Linked DNA regions of Yarrowia lipolytica. The main gene of each other region encodes a partner of the protein of the gene in region 2 in a complex. Links are inferred from orthologs where the notes say so. Each region holds a gene or a part of one and is shown on either strand. Other genes may lie near its edges.

The links. Proteins that work in one complex are often made in the same cells at the same time.
Region 1: the proteins of YALI1_E29709g (region 2) and YALI1_E33234g are in contact, whole or in part, in a cryo-EM structure (PDB 6Z6F), measured with the Saccharomyces cerevisiae proteins. The link is inferred for Yarrowia lipolytica from reciprocal best matches to the Saccharomyces cerevisiae genes HDA1 and HDA3. Residues at the interface, in NP_014377.1 of Saccharomyces cerevisiae: Arg67, Tyr68, Ala70, Ile72, Phe73, Tyr76, Phe77, Glu78, Tyr79, Ile80, His83, Pro87, Arg88, Tyr91, Arg92, Lys95, Leu108, Arg151, Asn167, Asn168, Asp169, Gln466, Ser470, Asp471, Phe475, Val476, Thr477, Pro479, Val481, Ser482; in NP_015505.1 of Saccharomyces cerevisiae: Gln47, Ile48, Ser50, Leu51, His52, Tyr53, Ser54, Leu57, Arg58, Glu61, Thr62, Lys66, Asp68, Val69, Glu72, Thr76, Asn80, Leu91, Ile92, Asp93, His94, Glu323, Leu326, Leu327, Thr328, Glu329, Val408, Asn409, Leu412, Ile416.

The regions. Positions count from the first base shown.
Region 1 is NC_090774.1:3,320,707-3,329,001, forward strand, and holds YALI1_E33234g (uncharacterized protein), read left to right. Parts: upstream 1-2,725; coding exon 2,726-4,576; downstream 4,577-8,295. Other genes in the region: YALI1_E33150g (uncharacterized protein), read left to right, coding at 1-45; YALI1_E33220g (uncharacterized protein), read right to left, coding at 257-1,306; YALI1_E33268g (uncharacterized protein), read right to left, coding at 4,725-6,083; YALI1_E33278g (uncharacterized protein), read left to right, coding at 7,091-7,263, 7,310-7,337; YALI1_E33285g (uncharacterized protein), read left to right, coding at 7,818-8,295. UniProt on the Saccharomyces cerevisiae protein: Required for activity of HDA1 histone deacetylase complex. The HDA1 histone deacetylase complex is responsible for the deacetylation of lysine residues on the N-terminal part of the core histones (H2A, H2B, H3 and H4).
Region 2 is NC_090774.1:2,964,544-2,976,080, reverse strand, and holds YALI1_E29709g (uncharacterized protein), read left to right. Parts: upstream 1-5,173; coding exon 5,174-7,951; downstream 7,952-11,537. Other genes in the region: YALI1_E29776g (uncharacterized protein), read left to right, coding at 1-64; YALI1_E29719g (uncharacterized protein), read right to left, coding at 2,275-4,131; YALI1_E29665g (uncharacterized protein), read left to right, coding at 8,910-9,032, 9,550-11,307. UniProt on the Saccharomyces cerevisiae protein: Responsible for the deacetylation of lysine residues on the N-terminal part of the core histones (H2A, H2B, H3 and H4).

The sequences.
Region 1 (8,295 bases), about 350 kb from region 2:
GGCTACGACGAGTTCCAGCGAATCACAAACGGTATTCCTTATTAAGCGGATTTGTTTTTCAACGGATGTATGTACTACATTGTAGTCGGAGGATCTTATGTGGGTTAATATTATTATGTGAATGATTGTTATTGTGTTTGTAAGTACAGTATGTACTTGTAGATCTGAATCAATGTTTACTACGGTTGCGTTCCAAGAAGCTAGCATCAACAATATATTACATCATCCAATACAGAAAACCAAACTGTCAACTGCATTACAACCTGTAGATCGGACTTTCTCCGTTGATTCCATCAAAGACGTAAAAGTTGTCGATGGGAATCTGTGATCGGGCCAGATAATTGAGCACCTCCTGAGCAATACCTCCTCCCATGATCGATGCAGTTGTGGCAATCTCTGCGTCCTTGCTAGTGAGCACCTGTTGTGCCAGTTCCTCAGAAATGATTCCCAGAGGCAGCTGCAGCTTCGAACACTGCTCCACACCCAGCTCGTGGAACTCCTTTGCACTCAAATCGCCCCACGACTTTCCGGGGTTTGTCTGTTCGTACTCCCAGCCTGTAAACAGAAGAGGCACGTATCCGGGGATTCGAGACTTGTGCTTAGGTCGCATGTGAGCAAAGGGCTTCGGCGTCTGAACAGCCTCGAGCACCTGCTTGAACGGCTTAAAGCTCTGCTTGAGAGAAGCACTGTAGTTTCCAGTCTCTAACTCAACTGTCCCCACCAAGGTAGCCTGCTCAGGGATGCTCATGGTCGAGGGCTTGTTGGGAGTCTCAATTTTGTAAGTATACTCTCTGAAATCAATGAAGGCGTAGGAGAAGAGACCAGAGATGCCCACGCAGATGTTAGTGGTGTCTGTCTCTTCACACAGGGTTGTAATGTGCACAATCTCCTTCAGAGTGGCCTGGGTGATAACCACGAGGTCGAACTTGCCCACAAATTCCTTGTCCAGGTCCAAAATGACCTTGTCCACCGTCTCCACGGTAACGTGTCGATTCAGCTGTGAGATTCGAGGCAGGGCAGATTCTCCTCGGTTTTTGTTCTCGTCGCCCTCCTGCACGAAAAACTGTGCTCCAAAGTCGGCATCAGAGGTGACGTGCGCATCCACGATAGTCAACGAGCCGATACCTGCGAGCACCAGGTCCTTGACGATTTCGTTGGCGACTGCCCCGATGTTGATGAGTAGGATCTTGGAGTTACGCATCCGCGCCTGCGATTCCATGCCCCACAGTCGAATCTGCCGGTCATAAAGTGCCACCTCGTCGGCCGAGATCGTGTTTTCCGTCTTGCCCACGCTGGTTTCCGTCATTGCTGGTGTTGAAAGGTGCAATTGAGATCAGGAAACTCAAACGCGTTGTGATAATATGCAGGATAATGAGTGAAGGTCTGAGATGTCAGAGGTGAATCAGGGTTGTGCGGAGGAGTCGGACGAGAAGAATAATGAGAGGTTATCTGCGAAGTTATGCCTAATGATACTGTAAGACTACAATACAATATAGTGTATAGGAGTTCATGGTGCCATCTTGGGCAATGTGCTCTTTTCAACGCTTGTAGTTGATTTGGAATTCATTGTAAATTTACTGTAGTTTCAACGGCCCAGTAGAGAGCACGGATTCGATGTTCCAGTTACTTCTGGAGTTCTCATCAGTCTTGATAATAAAACGACACCAGTCTTTCCCACTGCTGCTTATAGTATAATGGTCTCAATAATTTGTCTCATCCATAACTGATAGACACGAATTGATAGTCCTGCGTGTGGTGTAACAATCTTCCTCAGTCTCAGGGTTCAATGTATGTAAACGAGAAATGGACCCCAAACCTGTAGAAACGATATTATTCCCCACAACAATCCTAGTGTCTGGTCTCGTTCAGTAGCTCTTGATCTCTCTGTTGCAGTGCTCCTGACAAACGTATCACAATGCATGATTACTAAGCATGCGATTTCTATGTGCTTGTGGAATGAGAGATACAAGTACCAGCACTTCTACAGTACAAGTACAAGTACAAGAGAATGTATTTATTTTTATACACGCTAAAATTGCTATCAATGGATGGATCAAACAGCACAGCAAATATAGGCCTTCCCTGAAGGTCACGTTAGCTACTACAAGTAATACAACAACCACACCACATACTGTATTATACTCTCTACAGTATTTGCCCAGTCCTATTAGCACACACTAAAGACGCTTACAAGTGACCAACACGTAATTTCACACCAGTGCCTGTACACACGATGGCCTATGTAGTTTATCAAGATATAGATTACTAAGCAGATGATTGCGGTGTTACGAGCAGGGTGACTGAAATACCATTACTTGTACAAGAAATCTATCCGATATCTGGCATTTCTGGAGGTCAAAAACGTGACATTCTTGCTGATATGAAAATCACCGTCGTTTCTTACACCCCACAGAAAAACAGAGGATAAGGGCAACCAACTTAATGGTACGTAAGCTTCCCTACAGCAGGTGGGATGTATACTTCAAAAACGTGAAATATGGCTCTCGAATGAGCTGAAATTTGGACATAATCTTAGAAATTCCATTTCAAGCCCTCCACGTGAATTTTACACCTCGATCACCACTCCTACGCGAATTTGAACGTTGTCAAATACTGACGACCACGAGCCAAACCTTAACTTGACGCAGACACTCTCTCACCACTTCATCTCTTCCTCACGACATTCTGATCTCTATCTGCATCAAGTCCCCTGACACCTACTAAAATGGACATTGGAAAAATTCTGGACGTGACGCCGGAGCCGATTCTCTCGACAGATGCGGTGATCAACGCTGCTTCCGACAACCGCAGCATGGATTACTGTCTGCCAGTCCAGATGGCCGAGTTCCAACGAGAACTGACGGACCAGGTGGTCAACCTGCATTATTCTGACATTCTGCGGTTCTACGACACAATCAGTCCGACACAAAATCAGTCGTGCGCACCCTCTGATTGGGCCGATTCTCTGGGAGCCATGTATCAGGACTCGTTACTGGTTGCAACCCATCCGTACCTGCTGGTGGACCACTACATGCCCCGGAGCCTGTTGCTGAAAGAAATCCCCGACAAGCTGGCGCGTACCAGTGCCAAGTTCGCCGTGCTAGGCGACATTGTGTCACTGCTGGAAAACAAGCAATACAATGTGGCTCTGATAGCGCGGTCAGGAAAGACGTTGGATTTGGTGGAGGCATTTCTGCACGGCAAGCCTGTTTCTTTCGAGAGACATACAGGCCCATATCTGAGAGAGCCGTCGGCCAAGCAGCGAGCACACAAAACGACCATTCATGTCATGTCGTCGTCGCTGCTGGAGAGTAGTTACAATGGCGATCATCGTTTTGATCTGGTGATTGCCTTCGACAGCACGTTCAACCCAGCAGAGGTGCATGTGGAGGCTCTACGGATGCACAAGAGGAACATTCCCGCTCCCGTGTTGCGTCTGGTATCAAACCTCTCTGCTGAGCATGTCGCATACAGCTTTGGACTCACTGCTAACCCCGATAGAGTGTTTACGGAAGAGGTGATTGCAGCTCTAGTGGTGCTGAGAGACAAATCTGGAACAATCCCCGCTGAGATGAAGTCGTTGTACCTGCAGCAGCTTCAGCCATTGGCCTACTGGTTTGCCGATTTGTCTCTTCCTTGGCCACTTCCCGATCTAGCACCCATTTCCGGGTACTCCAAATTGGACGTGGAGACCTCAATGGCCTCGTCGTATCATCGTCGATCGGCCATTCCTGGAACCGCCAATGACCCTACGGACAATTCTTCTCAGCCTTCTAAGCGGTACAAGCTGGACCCTATCAGCGCAGACCACTTTGCTCCTCCACACGATTATGCACATGGTCGATGGACAGGTTTGACACAGGGGCTTCTGGAGCAATACAACTCGCTTGTTGGCCGAGAACGGCAACTAGTGTCGGAAATCGAGTCGCACAGGAAGCTCGCAACTACGCAGCAGCTCAAAATGGAGTCTCAACAGGACGAGATTGCGCGTCAGGTGCGTCAACACGCGTCCTTCGAGGAGACTATTGGCAAGCTGGAGCGAAAGATCGAACGAGGAGAATCAGATGCGGTTCGAAAAGAGGAGGCAGTTGTTCGATTGCAGGATGAGGTTGCTTCTCTGAAGGCTATTTTGGCTTCTGGAGAGGACGCAGACATCAAAACCAAACAGCAGGAGGAGATTCAGGCGCTGAAGACGAGCCTGCAAAAGGCCAATGCTACTGCTGATGCTCGGTCCAATGAGAATGACTACATGCGTTCCGAATACCAAAAGGCATCCGAGAGCGCGTCCGAGGCGTTGGCGAAGGTGGGATTGCTTACAACCGAGCTGGCTGAGGCCAACCAGCGTGCCGATGGTGAGTTTTCTGCCCTCAGAAAGCTCACATTCGACGAAGAGCGAGAAATTCGGGATTCGGAGATTGCAGAGCTCAAGGTTAAGGTGGAGAACTTGGAGGAGCAGCTCAAGAGACAGAGCGAGGCAGCTCCCAAGACATCACGTGCGAGGTACGGTGTGAGATCGAGCTCGGTTCCTAGACGAGCTCTTTCTCCTGCCGATGGACCTAATACGCAGTCAGAGTAGACGGATGACGAATGATGAAATATATTATGTATTATAGGAGGTTTAATTAATTACTGACGGATTGAGTGGTTCTATTTTTACTTACAAGTACTTGTAGTTTGAATGCAATATATTACCGATACGGTATGTGTTCCTACCCCTTCAACGCCTACTCCTTGCACCACAACTTCACTGTTCGATCCCAGCCACAGGTGGCGAAGTACTCGTTTCCAGGTCCCAAATCCATGCCCATGATTCGGTCTTGCGTCTTCCACCTTTTAGCCAGGGTCCACGAATCGGCATTCCAGATGTTAAAGTCGCCATCGTATCCCGTAGATGCGAGAAATGAGCCCGACTTGTCAAACTGAACACTCGACACAATCTTTGTATGTGCAGGGATTGTGTGGGAACATTTTTGAGCACGCAGATCCCATATTCTGACAGATCCGTCAGCAGATCCAGATGCAAGATAGAACCCGTTACCAGACCATCCCAGACTGTATATCTCTCGGATATGGCCTTCCAGAGTCTGAATACTTCGTCCAGATCGCATATCCCACACTCTGCCTACTGCATCCAAGCCAGCAGAGGCTACTAGAGCTCCATCCGGGTGGAAGGCCACAGAGTGGACACCCTTAGAGTGTCCTTCTTGAGACAACAGCTTGGTACCGCTCTCAATGTCCCACAGAGCCCAGGTGTAGTCATAGGACGCGGTAGCAGCCCACTGCCCGCTTGGATGAACGTCTAGACCTGCGATACGGCCCTTGTGGGCTTCAGACACCGTTCTGTATGCAGTATGTTCGTTGCCTTCTGTGCTGGAATCCCAGAACAGCAGCTTTCCCTCTCCACATCCACTCAGCAAGATATTACGTGCCCATTTCAAAGCACTTACTTTATCCACGTGCCCTCTCAACACAGCCTTGGTATTCAGATTCGGTACATCCATTAGCTTGATCTCGCCGTTCCACGATGATGCAGCCAGTATAGAGTCGCTTCCAAAAGCCACGGCCCCTGCTGGACGTGTGGAAACGAACTGTGATCCCAGAAGCTGATACTGCTCTATAGGGGCCATCTTATCTCGTCGTAGGTTAACTGTCTCCACCAGGGACAATTCCGACTGTTGCTTTTGTGTCGTGAGTCGGTCCCTTGCTCTCAAGATACTGTCGTTTGTTATCTGCCTCCTTGCATCAAGCAACTCTTCACTTCCTGGCGTAAAAAACTCGTCGTCGTCCATAGAAACGTCAGAATCGCTCTCTTCGTCCTGCAGACCTTCCCGATCAAACTCGTCCACCATTAGCTGACCCAGACGGGTCCGTCGATCAGCTTTGTCTTCTGCGAAAAGAGTAATGGGCTCATTCAACGATCGTAGTTTCGCTCTAACATCCTTATCGTCTGTAGGAACATGCAGTTTTTTGAGAATATCAGCTCGACGTTGTTTTTCCAACAGCTGACGGGCCGCAACGGCCTCTTCCCGAACTGAAGAAGAGTCCACCGTCGTCTTGATCGACTCCAGATCCACAAGTTCCATGTTGGTGATGAAGACAATTAGGTTGGGAGGTGCAGAATTGATACATTTGATTACTAAAGCGATATGGAGTGCTAAAGCAGGATTATGCAATGAGTGAAAGGCCCGAATAAACTATTGTAAGGTCAGGGTTGTTCAGATTTGCAGCTAGAGAGCAAGAAATATCGGCCACTTATTAACCACAGGTTATGAGTTTCTTGCAGCTCCTGCCTGTTCGATCCCCATAACTGTGGATATTATTCACTACTTGTAGCTCTGTTTAGATAATAGCTGATGAAGATGGTGGCGATATTTACAGAAAAATCGACTTTGGAAAAAACAACAACACGCAGGCGACTCCACATGCTGCTTCGATATACTGACCTCCGCCTACCTTCCCTTCACATGAATGATAAAAAACTCGTTCGGAGTTTAGCTCTAAAAGCGAAAGTGCGGAGAATGTGGGAACAGGATACAACTATAGAATGATAAAGTGATAGAAAAAGAGCTACTGAAACGAATAATGCGGGCATAGAAATAGCTTCAGAGCCTCACGTAACTTGTGTTTAGTTTGGCCTCTCCTAATACCTCAATCATCGCTCGCTATTAGCTCTCAGATGCCAATAATAATAAGACGCAGTAGATCGCCTAAGCAAGTTTAAACGGAATGTGTTGAGGCTATTTCAGTGTGGAGGAGTTATAAAGTGCAAAGAAGGGGGAGGAAGGATGTTTGAGTTGCCGGAAGGCATTCAATATATAGGAAATTCTGTTAAGAAAGAATCTCTTCCAAGCCCCAACCGTTGGCGCCCATCAATGGTGTGTTTAATAAACCCCGCTGACAACCGCATCCATGCATTCCCCGGAGTTAATATCTCACCTCCTGATATCTAGATGCAGCTTCGAAAGCTAAAGTGGCTACATTCACTACAGACCACAGGCAGTAAGCATCCGACACACAAGTGCACCTGTCTATAACCCCCACAATTTCTTCTCTTGTTGCACACCAACACCAACACCACAGAAACACAACAATGGCGATCCCCCACTTGGAGTGTCTGCAGAAATGCGTCCACGAGCTCCATGCCCTGTTGCATCAGCACTACCACGAGTTCCAGGCTTCTCCGGTCGCTTACCTTCATTCGAAGCACGACTGCGTGAGGGCTGAGGTAATTGAGCATTTCCAGAATGCCACTACCTATGAAAAGTGAGAATAAGCGAAGGATGAGACTGTTTGAGTACTACTAACCCAGATTTCGAGATGCGGTATTTATTGTGTGAGTATACACGGTCCCATTGAGAATCAAAACGACACAAGTAAAAGGCGATCTTACAGAGATACCATTGACGCCATGACACTCACGACGTTTTACCCATGAGATCTTGGAGCAATTATTCACAGAGGCTTCTCTTGGCCGTACATCCGACCGTCCGACCGGGAGCACACGGACATGATATCAGTCATCATATGTTAGCTACGACATACAATTAACAGCTACTCGCTGTTCATGTGATTTGATCTGGAAACGATGAGCTAGAGCAACCCAGCCATGTATATACTAACTCAGCGTCATTCTCACAGCCCTTGGCAACTTCCTTTCTTTTATTCACACCATCTTTGCTGATGGACTTCAAAACACATTCCGTTTCCATGCCAGAAAAGTGACCAAAAAGATTCTCGACATTCCCTTCATCAAGGCTAAGATTGACAAGGAGACAGGGGTTGTGATTGAGAAGATCCAGAACGACATTATCGTCCGAATGCCCGGCACCCAAATCTTTGGGACTCTCCCTGCTGAAGGTATGACCAACACAGAGGTCATCACTGAGATGTCTAAGTACCACGATATGAAGCGAACCTTCTGGGAAAAGGGTCGTGTAAGTGGAGCTGTCTACCACGGAGGTAAGGAGCTCACAGACCTGCAATCCGAGGCATTCTCCCAGTTCACAGTGGCGAACCAGCTTCATCCCGATGTCTTCCCGGGTGTCCGAAAGATGGAGTCTGAGGTTGTTGCTATGGTTCTGGCTCTTTTCCATGGCCCTGAGGGCTCTTGCGGAACCTCTACATCTGGAGGTACCGAGTCTCTCCTGCTGACTTCTCTGGCCGCCAAGATGAAGGCCTACAACGAGCGAGGCGTCACACATCCCGAGATTATTGCTCCTATCACTGTGCATGCCGGCTTTGACAAGGCTGCCTACTACTTTGGAATGAAGCTGCGACATGCCCCCGTCGATCCGA
Region 2 (11,537 bases):
TAAGGGAGTGTGCAAGGGACTGCCCGACTTTGATGGCGTTCCTGGACGGGTTTGTGCCGAGTAAAAAAGGTAGCAAGCGCACTAGACTATTTATTTATTTATTCCATACTGACGATCAATAAGAGCGACTGATATTTGACAAACGGTGTATCATACGAGTACAAGTACTTGTACTTTGTACATACTGTACTTGTGTCAATTTTGAGATTGCGATAAAATAGACACTGCTTGACCCACACTACTGAATAGTCGGTCCGATAGTGCGTTAAAATTTTCTCGCCCAATTTGACCCCCTACTACTGTAAGTACTGGTATCAACTAAAACGGCTATAACTGCCCTACTCAGAAATATTGTGTACCTTCTACTTCCCTAAGTGCGGATTTACGCTTTACCCGTCTCGCTTGAAGACAGACGTACAGTAGTTTGTTGGCTCGTTTTCGCATCTCCGCATACCCGTTAACATGCTGCGTCTTTTGTGCTCCTCTGGTCCTGTGTGGACTGTGTCTGCGAGGCGTTTATAATAGCCCGGATGAATGAGCTCTCTTATGAAGAGTGTCTCGGAGAAGGTGTGTTTGAGTCATCATGACGAAACCGTGCAGCAGCAAGCTGAACTACCCACAGTGCATATACTGGGTCTACGTTTACGGTGGAGAGGCTGGATTTGGAGGTCTTGGTCTGATCCAAGTAGGCCTATGATAGCGTGGTCTATAGGGCTCGTAGAGGTGCCAGACGACGGTGCATTTTGTATTTCTCGGTTTTTCCACACTAACGATGGGCAGTAGACCAAAAATTAAATCTAAAATGACTTAAGACTTGGAACGTCTTTGTATGAGGAGAGACAACAAAGAGTTTGGTCCCCCCTGTTCTTTGTTTGGCACTGTAACAAAGAAAACGCCCAACTTTTCGGCAACTGTCTCGTTATCTCAGTGTGTGCAAGAGGGTGGAGACGCATGATTGACTTTTGGCACCACAATCGTTCCACCACTTTTGAGGATGACGACACCGGCAATGTGAAACTAATATGACGATCAAGCCACGGTCCAGCGTGTTCGATTCTTTTCCAGTAGGCAATTATTAATGGACTATACGAGACGGCTCAAGGGGAAAAAAGTATACATGTTTCCTTGGAGTAGCCCTATCGGTACACAGTAGCAAGCAAGCCTGATGAACACTTTCTGTACTCAATCGTTACAATGTAACCTCAGCTCCCCCGATAACAGCTCGTGACCAGCATCAGGCCTAACGTTTCACATACGGCTGACCCCATCTTTGCTTGGCGCCCCTGTGTTGACGGACTGGGGTAAGACACTCAAAACCCACGTTGCGTTCCTTGTCGAGAGAGCCCAACAACTCTGTTGAGCGAGGAGGAGCTCGTCGACAAGGAGGGGTTCGTAGCTCTCTTAGCTGCTGACGGGTCTAAACCAAAAGCCATCGTTAGCCGTTGCCGTTGGCTGTTGGAGGTCTCTACCATAGTTGGAGCGATCCGAACATCTCCACGGACCCAGACAAGCCTACGGAACATGTACTGTATTTACTGTATCGACTATACACTGGGCCCTGCAACATTTTCAGATTAAATCACATCTACGGGTCGTTACGAGCTCGCGGTGGAATAAAAAGGCTTTTCGCTGAAGCCAATAGCTCCAAAACTCGGGCTAGTCTATCGTGTGTCCTCAAATTATGTCTCAGCTTGCTTATACTTGTGAGAAATCGCAATCTCCGCTATTGGTGCTTAGATACTTTCTATTCTTCACGGACATCCTTTTGCCGAAATGACTTTCAACCCTCGCTACGAGTAATCAAGGCGTAGAAATGTCCAGGCTAACCCGCACTCAACCAGGGATTGGGTTGAGCGTTTGATATTCACGTGCTCTAGCAGAGCAGACGTTGCTCTACGTTGTTACACTTGGGTCTAATGCAACCCCCAAAACGGAGTACTTGTACCCACATTCCAGACTTCATAATACCACGGAGTTCCGGATCCATGCTTTATCGGTGTCATAGAAAATACATACAGACTTTCTGATAGATAGGTACCTATCACACGTATGGCCAGGGTCTAAAGGTAGGTGACACTATGTTATGCGAATACGATCTCATGTGAGACTCGGGGCGCTTGTAGATCTGTCAAGACTGGTTTTAGACGCTCCGATAGAGACTCCGACATATACTGCACATGCAGGTGACAGATTATTGATAGAAACCCACTCCATGGCGTGGAGATATAAATAAATACTTCAATTACATACGTCTTCGATCAGTCAAAGCTGCTTCTACTTCGGCAATGCACTATCCTTCAAAGGCTGAGCGAGAATCTCCGGGTTGGTGTTGGAACGCTCAGCAGAATTAACATCAAAACTTGCTTGCACGTTAGCCTCTTGAGAAGGCTCTTGCTTCGGCTGATGTTGCTGCTGCTGCGCGGCGGTCACCTCAGAGGGCTGCACAGAGTGATCATTTGATTCCAACTCCGAGTCCAGTCGCATCTCGGCCATGTGCTCCCGTGCATTGTTGACAACAGGAGCGTCTCGCTGGCCAGACACGTCCGGAGCCACTTCCGAGTTGCTGGGCTCAGCTGTCTTGGGTGCAAATTCGTAGGCTGCACGAGCTCGCTCAGAGTGTTTGGCCCCAGCAGGGGCCATGGGCAAAGACGCCTGGTGTCCGTTCTGGTCGGGAACCTCCTGTGCATTCTTTTTAGCCTCTGCCTCCTGCTGAATAGCCTGAGCATGTGCCATCTCGGGAAGAATGCCCTCACTCTTGGGAGGAAGTGGCTCGTATGCAGGCTTGTCGATTCCATGAGACTTGTTGAAGCGCTCCACCTCCTCCCGAGCCTTGCTCTCCTCTGCCAGCACGTTAATTCGCTCTCTCATAAACTCATCGTGCATCATCTTCTGCTCAACATAGTGCTTGTGTGCCACCTTCTGGCCCTCGAGATTTGAGCCCTCCTCCTCAAGGCCGGTCTTCTCGTCCACAACGTACCAACTGATGTATCCATTGAGCATGTCTGTAGCTCGAGGCAGAGTCACACCAGGAGGAGCGCTGTTGATGACAAAGTTCTCCAGACTCTTGCCCTGTCTGACCTGGTCTCTTCGAGTGCTCTGGAAGTCCCGGAAGCCTCTGTACAAGTCTGAGACTCGATCGGCACCTCGCTTGCCTCCAAGATTGACACCTGCAGGTTCCTGGGACTTGGGACCGGCTCCCATAGCATTGTCCTCAGTAGAGCGAGGCATACCCGCACTCTCCTCCTGCATCTGCTCCTGGTCAACAGATTCGTGCAGCGGCGAGGGCTTGGGCGGAGTATGGGGGTTGTTAGGATGGGACTTGTGGAAGGTGAGACGCTCCTTGAGCTTGCAAGAAGCACTGGTCTTCTTGGGCTGGTTACCGTTGGTACCTGAAGAATTCTCAGGCTCCTCCTTGATATCAGCATCCCTCTTGGAGCCCTTCTTCTTGGGAGGCTGCCAGAACATACCCTTGCCTCCGTCTCCAAATCCGTCCCCTCCATGGAAAATGTCCTCAATACACTTGTTGACAGACACTCCCTGGGGCGAGACAAAGTAACCTCGGGCGAATTCTCTTCGATACTCGCACGTCTTGCTCTCTCCGCCGGCATCAGATGTCTCCTTCTGGCTCATGAGACCGAAAATGTGCTGTGTAGAGAGAGGAGGAATCATATAATCTGTATCTCCTCGCAGCTGCTCCATGTTGATGGAGACGTTGAGCAGTGAGTTGACCTTGGACTTTCGGAGCAAGTATCTGTGCGTAATTGGTTCGTCCTGGGCGTATTCAGCGAGATTCAGCTCCACTCGTCCTAGGTGGTTTCTGTCCGAGGTGTTGATCTCCTTGTCATTCTGACGGTCGTTTCTGGACTCCACAAACACATCGAACATGATGGACGAGCCGTGCAGCATCTTATCATCGTCTATTCGCATTCTGAACTCCATGGACGTCTCGTAGTTCCATTCGGCTCGGTGGTTCCGGATTCGAGCGACGTCCGTACGTCCTCGAAAGTCGTTGCGTCGATGGTCGGTGAGATGCCATCGCACGGTCGCCACACCTGTCAGTTGGGGCACATTGGCCAGCTCGATAATTTTGAGCTTGAGATTGAACCGGGGTCGGTCGCTGGATCGGAACATGGTCGTTTTGAGGCCTGAGCGAAAAAAAAATTAGACAACGGCGATGGTGGTACACAAGTTGCTGCATGAGGGAGCTTATCTGGGGTCAGGGGGTTAGGGGAGTTTGAGGGGGCAGGCACTGACCAAACATTATGAACGAGAATATGAGCAGTAGTAAACAAACAACAAGAAACTGCCTTTCACACGACGATATTTGACCTTGGTACAATGTTTATAATCACGTGAACCATCACCTTACTCCATCGATACTTCTCAGACAGGTAGGTCGTTTTCGCCACACCTCCGCATAACCCCAAAGAGGGAGGCTACTTGTAGCGAGACTGGGACAAGGTTCAATTAAAGACACTGCCTACAATAGGTAATGGAACGAAGCGACGCGGAGAGCTACGTTTTTTGTGCAGCAAAGTGCCTTTTCGGAAGTGTAGTACTTTGCAAGTGACTGCTCAGATTAAGACTGTATATGATTCGCCAAGTCAGAACCTCCCCATTTACAAGCTCCAGCATATCCCAGTGTAGGCCAGTACAATCAATAAGCTCTCCGATTGTTGCATGTCTCCGGTAGGTCGATGTGAGGATGGAAGTGGATATTACGAGTGGGATTAAAATGGAGAGGGAGTGCCAGGAGCAATGGGAATGATCACGTGACAACACAAAGTCGCTCAGTGACGACCTGTCACGTGGAAAGCTGCACACATCCCCGGTTACAACCAGTTATTTCGGTTCACATCACCCCCAAGCTTATCTGGACAAGGTGTGAAAAATGGGCGACGCTCCCTTTTTGTGGTTTTAGGGCCTTGTAGTGTCGTATAAGTCACGTGCGGTTTCTAGAGGGTCCACGGCGGCTCCAGTTCGATTTTCGGAAAGGCCAAATACCGTGATTGGTTCAGGGGCGGCAGTAATCCATCGACGGTCTTCTGATGCACTCTACAATCTCTTTAGGCTCCAACCGCGCCCACCACTAGTGATGGACCCAGGGACGTGTGTGATACAGAGCAACCGGGTAAAACCTTCTTAGCCTCACCACCACCACAACACGATAGAAATGGACAGTGATCGGGATATCAAGGACGCGGGGGAGCGTGCAGCGGCCGTCGAGACCAATGTTGGTGAGATTACCGCGCCCGACACGTCTGAAAAACCGCTTCCGGGGGCTGAAACAGCTGCTGATGAGCCCTCTGTTTCGATTGAACAAAAAGCTGAACCTGGTGCTAAGATTGAAGAGGATCACAAGAACGGAGTTGAAGGGAAGGATGAGAAGAAGGAGGAGAATGAGCAAGAGGTAGTCAAAGCAGAGGATAAGACCGACGAGAAGCCCGAAGTGACTGCCAACGATAAAATCGATGAGATAAATGAGGCTCCTGCTAGCACCGACGTCAAGACTGAAGCCGTCGTCGAACCCACCACACACGACACGAACGCCGCAACTAGCACGACCGGAACGGGCACAACCGACACTACAGCAACCACCACTACAGCAACCAACACGAACGAACACGACCTACAGGCGATGCACGACACTGGTGCGGTGGCCGATGGCGATTTGATGGACACGTCGGACGACTATAAAATCAACATGGATCAGGTGCAGCTAGGGGACTATGACAGCGCTTCCATCTCCGGCCAGATTGCTGAGCGAATGGCGCAGCCCATCAAGACGGAGTTCGATACCAACTTTGTGCCCCAGACTCTGTCGCTGGTGGACCTGGAGCACGTCAACGGCAAGCGTAAGTTTGAGGAGACAGACACGCCTGAATTCGACACACAACGCGCCCGTGAACTCATCCTCGACGCAGACGTCAACCCAGCCCTCAAGGCTCCTCAGCTGCGTTACATTCCGCTGAAAACTGGAGTCTGTTACGACGTGCGAATGCGATACCATGCTCGTCTGGTGTCCACATCCTACGACTACGTGGACCCTCATCCAGAGGACCCGAGACGTATTTTCTCAGTGTACAAGGCGCTGGTGGATGCAGGACTAGTGGTGGATCCCGAGTATCTAGGTCTGGAGGACATTGGCCCACTGATGGAAAAGATTCCGATCCGAGAAGCCTCGCTCGACGAGGTTCTGGAGGTGCATACCCCCGCACATGTGGACTTCCTAGCGTCGACGGAGAAGATGAACCGACCGCAGTTACTGGAGGAGGGCGAAAAGGGCGACTCGGTCTATTTCAACAATGAGTCGTTCAGTGCAGGCAAATTGTCCTGTGGAGGAACCATTGAGACGTGTAGAGCCGTGATCGAGCGGAATGTCAAGAACGCCATTGCCGTCGTTCGTCCACCAGGCCATCACGCCGAGCCTGGCAACCCTGCTGGCTTTTGCATGTTTTCCAACGTGGCTGTGGCTGCCAAGGTGCTACTGAAACGGTACCCTGAGCGAGTTAAGCGGATCCTGATTCTCGACTGGGATGTTCATCACGGAAACGGTACCCAACGAGCCTTTCTGGATGACCCTAGGGTGCTTTACATTTCTCTGCACCAGTACGAGAACGGAAAATTCTACCCTGGAGGCACATTTGGAGCTCACACGTCTGTGGGAACTGGAGCTGGAGAGGGATACAGTGTCAACATTCCCTGGAGTGCCCCTGGAGCTGGCGATGCAGACTACATTTACGCATTCCAAAAAGTCGTCATGCCAATTGGTATGGAGTTTGACCCTGATTTTGTGATTGTGTCAGCTGGTTTCGACGCAGCCGAGGGTGATCTTCTTGGTGGGTGCAAGATTACGCCTTCGGGATATGGTCACATGACCCACATGCTCAAGGGCCTGGCTTCTGGAAACCTGGCTGTGGTGCTGGAGGGAGGTTACACTTTGGAGGCCACTGCCAAGTCTGCCTTGGCCGTCACCAAGGTGCTTCTTGGAGAGGCGCCTCTTCCTCTTCCTGCGGCCTTCAAGCCCACCTCTGCAACTATCTCTGTTGTCCAGGATGTGGTCGAGACCCAGTCTCAGTACTGGCGATGTCTGCAGCCTGGCTTTGAGACTATCATTCCCAAGGAGATCACCACGTACGATCTGATGGGTGACGTCGTTCGATCCTACCAGGCACGCAAGCTGTTCGACAAGTACAAGCTATCGGCTCTTCCAAACATGGGAGGAAGCAGCAGTACGCCATCTGGACGGGCTGCCACTGCTGGTCCTGCTTCAGGATCGTCAATCTCTCTGGCAGACCAGATTCTTGCATCACCAAAAATCCACTCGGCCGAAACCGTGGTTGTGTTTGTGCATGATCCTCCTCAGATCTGGGGTAAGGTGGACGCTGTCACTGGCGAGCTTGACTTTGATTCCTGCATGGTTGACGTGACGACAAAGTGGCTGGAGTGGGCACATGGACGGGGATACGGTATCATTGACGTCAACATTCCCAAGGCTTTGAATGGAGCTGACGACGACAACTACTATGCACTGTTTGCCAGCCAGGAGGTGTGCCTGTATCTGTGGGACAAGTACCTCAGTGTGTTTGACGCGCAGAACGTGATCATGGTGGGCTTTGGTGATGCCTACGCTGGTCTGGTGCATCTGGTAGGCCACCGAGACACCCGAGAAAAGGTCAACTGCGTCATCAACTTCATCTCCGAGACCCAGCTGCGCCCTATTGTCTCCATTATTGACGAGTACATCACCGACTGGTTCTACCGATCGTCACTGGTTTTCACTGCGGACACCCATCCCTGCTGGGATGTGAGCACTAACCCCAAGAAGCCAAGGCGTAAGTTTGGACGAGTGCTCCGATGTGACAGCACCGGTCTACATCGAATTGTGGAGGAACGGTTCAAGGAAGCAGTTGAGTTCATTGACGAGCAGCTGGAGGATGATGAGGAGTAGAGAGAGAGTGTGCAAAATAAAACGAAATGATGTATTTTTATATAGAACCCCTGAAGTCAAATGATTTGAGCTGTATGTACGGTACATACTGTACCTACTGTATCATGTGCATAAATTGTACAGTAGTGTGAGTGAGTAAAAGAAGATTGATTGGTAATATAGTGGTTCAAGTACTGGTAACCGGCAGTGTACCCTGTGTTCAAAAATTATAAAAATATATGCCTTCGACCAGATTTGAACTGATGATCTCAGCATTACTAGTGCTGCGCCTTACCACTTGGCCACGAAGGCGGCTATAAACTTTTTGAGGATGGTAGCCATGGAGTCCTGACACGAGAACTCATAATCTGTTCCCTAGAATAAAAAAACCTGTTAAAAAAGCACAAAATGATGTATCTGTTGACTGTTTCATCTTTAAGCCTTTTCTGACGTTTATTATACTGTGAGAATAAGCTCTGACCAGAAGTTAGGACAATACAACTTTCCGTACAGCATGATTATGGTTCCCTCTTGGGCTCAAATTTATACCACATTCTTCTCTTACCTGAGTTAAAAGAAAAAAATCTGAAGTGCCATTGAGACTCATGTACAGTAGCTACATAAATAGATTTGATAATACAAAAAATTCAACGTAGTATATAAGGAGCCTGTCAAAATTTGGCAAACAGGGCAACCATAACATCCTTCTATATTCCACGATGACACTTTCACATCATATGACTTACAACCTATGTAACCTTAAATCCGGCCGGGTAACCCTAACTACAATATGGTACCAGTTTTTGCGCAACCCACTCTCCTTCATCCACACAACATCTCAGCACTCAGCAAAACATTCTACGACAACACAAACACAGTACTCGTATCGTATCAAGTGGTATTATTGTAGTACAGTATTTTGCCCCCAGCTTTGACACACGCACTAAACACACAAATCACGACACACACACAAACACAAATGTCTTCGGCAGTGGAAACTGAATTCGAGGCGCTTTTGGCATCCATGTTGGTGGCAAAGGCTCCAGGAGTGTCTGGCTCCAAGATTAACGGAATTCGAGAGTTGGCCATGAAGAACGTTGATGTGAGTATTATCCTGACTTTTGTGACGACCAACCGGTAGATCGTATGGTATATATGGAGGTGAGACGCAACGGTGACAATGATGACGACAACACACGAGTGATATCAGGGACTTTTATCGTATGAACTGACACGCTTGTCCAGTGTCTATTTATCAATGTGTCTTATTGTCGGAACATTAACAAATGATACCCTTATTTTGTTCTTACACAAGTGGAGATGGCGACCCGGCTGCCACACCTACAATACAAAAAAAATCACCGTTATTTCACACTGTTATTTTGCTTTCATTGCAGTAAAACACGCGCGCGCAGTATAACACGTACACAGTAATCAGTTGTACGTTGCAACTGTACCATTGTATCTGGTTTGAGGGTGAACGAACATCTTGTCACACTCCAATATGGTGATAAGATGGCTCCCCAAGTTTTCAAATCATCTCAAACCACTATCGTAACCACCGTAACCTACGAGATCATGGTACCCCATAGCCCTTCCCCAACGTATTACTAACCCAGATGGAATCCACTCTCATTCCCATCCTTGAGCGACATCTCAACAAGACTCCTCTGAGCCACAAGCTTGGAGCCATGTATGTTCTAGATGCCGTTGCTCGAGCGTACCAAGAGGAGAACAAGAAGGTTGGCCATGCTCTGAACCCCCAAGCTCCCGACGGCTCCCATGCCAAGGGTCTTTTCCGAATCTCTGAGTTTGTCGAGAGAGCTGCTCGAGAGTGTGTAGACCATACTTCCTCTGACGACACTCGAGACAAGCTGGACAAGCTGGTGGAGATTTGGCAGAAGGCTGGAACTTTCCCCCCTGACTCCATGCAGAGAATGCGGGGCTTCTTTAGTATGTCCAAGACCCCTGAGCAGTCTCCTCCCTCGCAGCTGATTGATCTCATTAACCAGGGCCAGCCCCCTGTCACTGGATCCACAGCAGCTCCTGCTGGAGGCGCCAATGCTGCTGCTGCTCTGGCCGCTGTTCTTGGCGGTGCTGCTCCCTCTGCTCCCGCTGCCTCCAACCCCGTGCCTACTGATACAGCCTCCATTCTGCAGGCTCTTGCTAGCATGAACGCTGGCGCTGCCGCGGGCGCACCTGCCCCCGCACCCGCTGCCAACCCCAATGCTGCTGCTGATGTGCTCAAGATGATCATGGCTCAGTCTGGCGGTGCTCCTCCTACCATGCCCGGTGGAGATGTCAACCAGGCCTGGAACCTTCCGTCGAGAGACCCCCGAGACCCCCGAGATCCCCGAGACAACTTCCGAGACCGTTCTAGAGAGTACAGAGACAGGGACCCCCGGGACCGAGATCCCCGAGACCGTGATTTCGGACGAGACCGAAACTACCGAGACCGTTCTGGAGACCGAGGGGGAGACCGAGGAGGAGATCGGGACTTTGGCCGAGGCCGAAACCAGAACCGACAACCTCCCGGAACCGACACCTTTGAGGACGACGCTCCTCCTCCCACCGAGAAGAAGGTCACCTACGACAACTCTTTGCCTCCTGGAACCATCAAGGTGCTGTCTCGAACTATCTTCATTGGAGGTGTGACTATGTCGACCACTAACGAGGAGCTTCTATCCATTCTGCGACCCTATGGCCGAACCCAGTCGCTGGTAATGCACAGAGAGCGAAAGCACGCCTTCTGTAAAATGTACACTCGAGCTGAGGCCGAGGCCGTTCTGCAGAACTTCACCCGACTCAACCAGCAGGGCAGTATCACTCTGCGAGCCCGATGGGGTGTCGGTTTCGGTCCTCGAGACTGCTCCAACTACCAGACCGGTATTTCCGTCATCCCCATTGCCACGCTTACCGAGGCAGACATGAAGTGGGTGGTTTCTGCTCCCTACGGAGGCACTGGAGGAGTCCCTGTGGCTCCTGGCATGTGTATCGAGGAGCCCGATATCGAGGTTGGTACCGGCGTTTCTTCCAAGGCCAAGTCCAAGCGAATGCCCACCAACGCCGGTGGCCGAAATGGACCCCGATCTTCCTTCCCTGATCGAGAAGGGGGCGGAGGATTTGACCGAGATGGGGGACGAGATGGAGGCCGAGGTGGGGGCTACGGAGGAGACCGAGGTGGATACGGAGGAGGTTATGGAGGAGGTTACGGAGGAGGAGGCTACGGAGGCAACGCCAACCACGTTCCTGTCGGCATCAGATCTCCCGCTCCTCCACCACAAGTCAACGCTGCCCAGATGGACGCCAACGCGGCTCTGGCAGCTCTCTTCCCCAACGGTATCCCTTCCATGGGTGGCTTTCCTCCTCAGCAGTAGATAGCTTACTAAGAGAGGAAAAAATGTATAGATAGATTAATGATTATGATATTTAAAGGTTTTGAGTTGTATGTGGGATGTACAGCACTTATACAGGCTTGTTGTAGTTGTCCCGTTACGTGGTTTGAAGTCACGATAATCTTCCCATGCCTATACACCAGTCAAGATGTAGATGTCCTGAACGAATGAAAAGAAAAAGGATGAAAAAATAAAAAAAAAACATAAAAAAA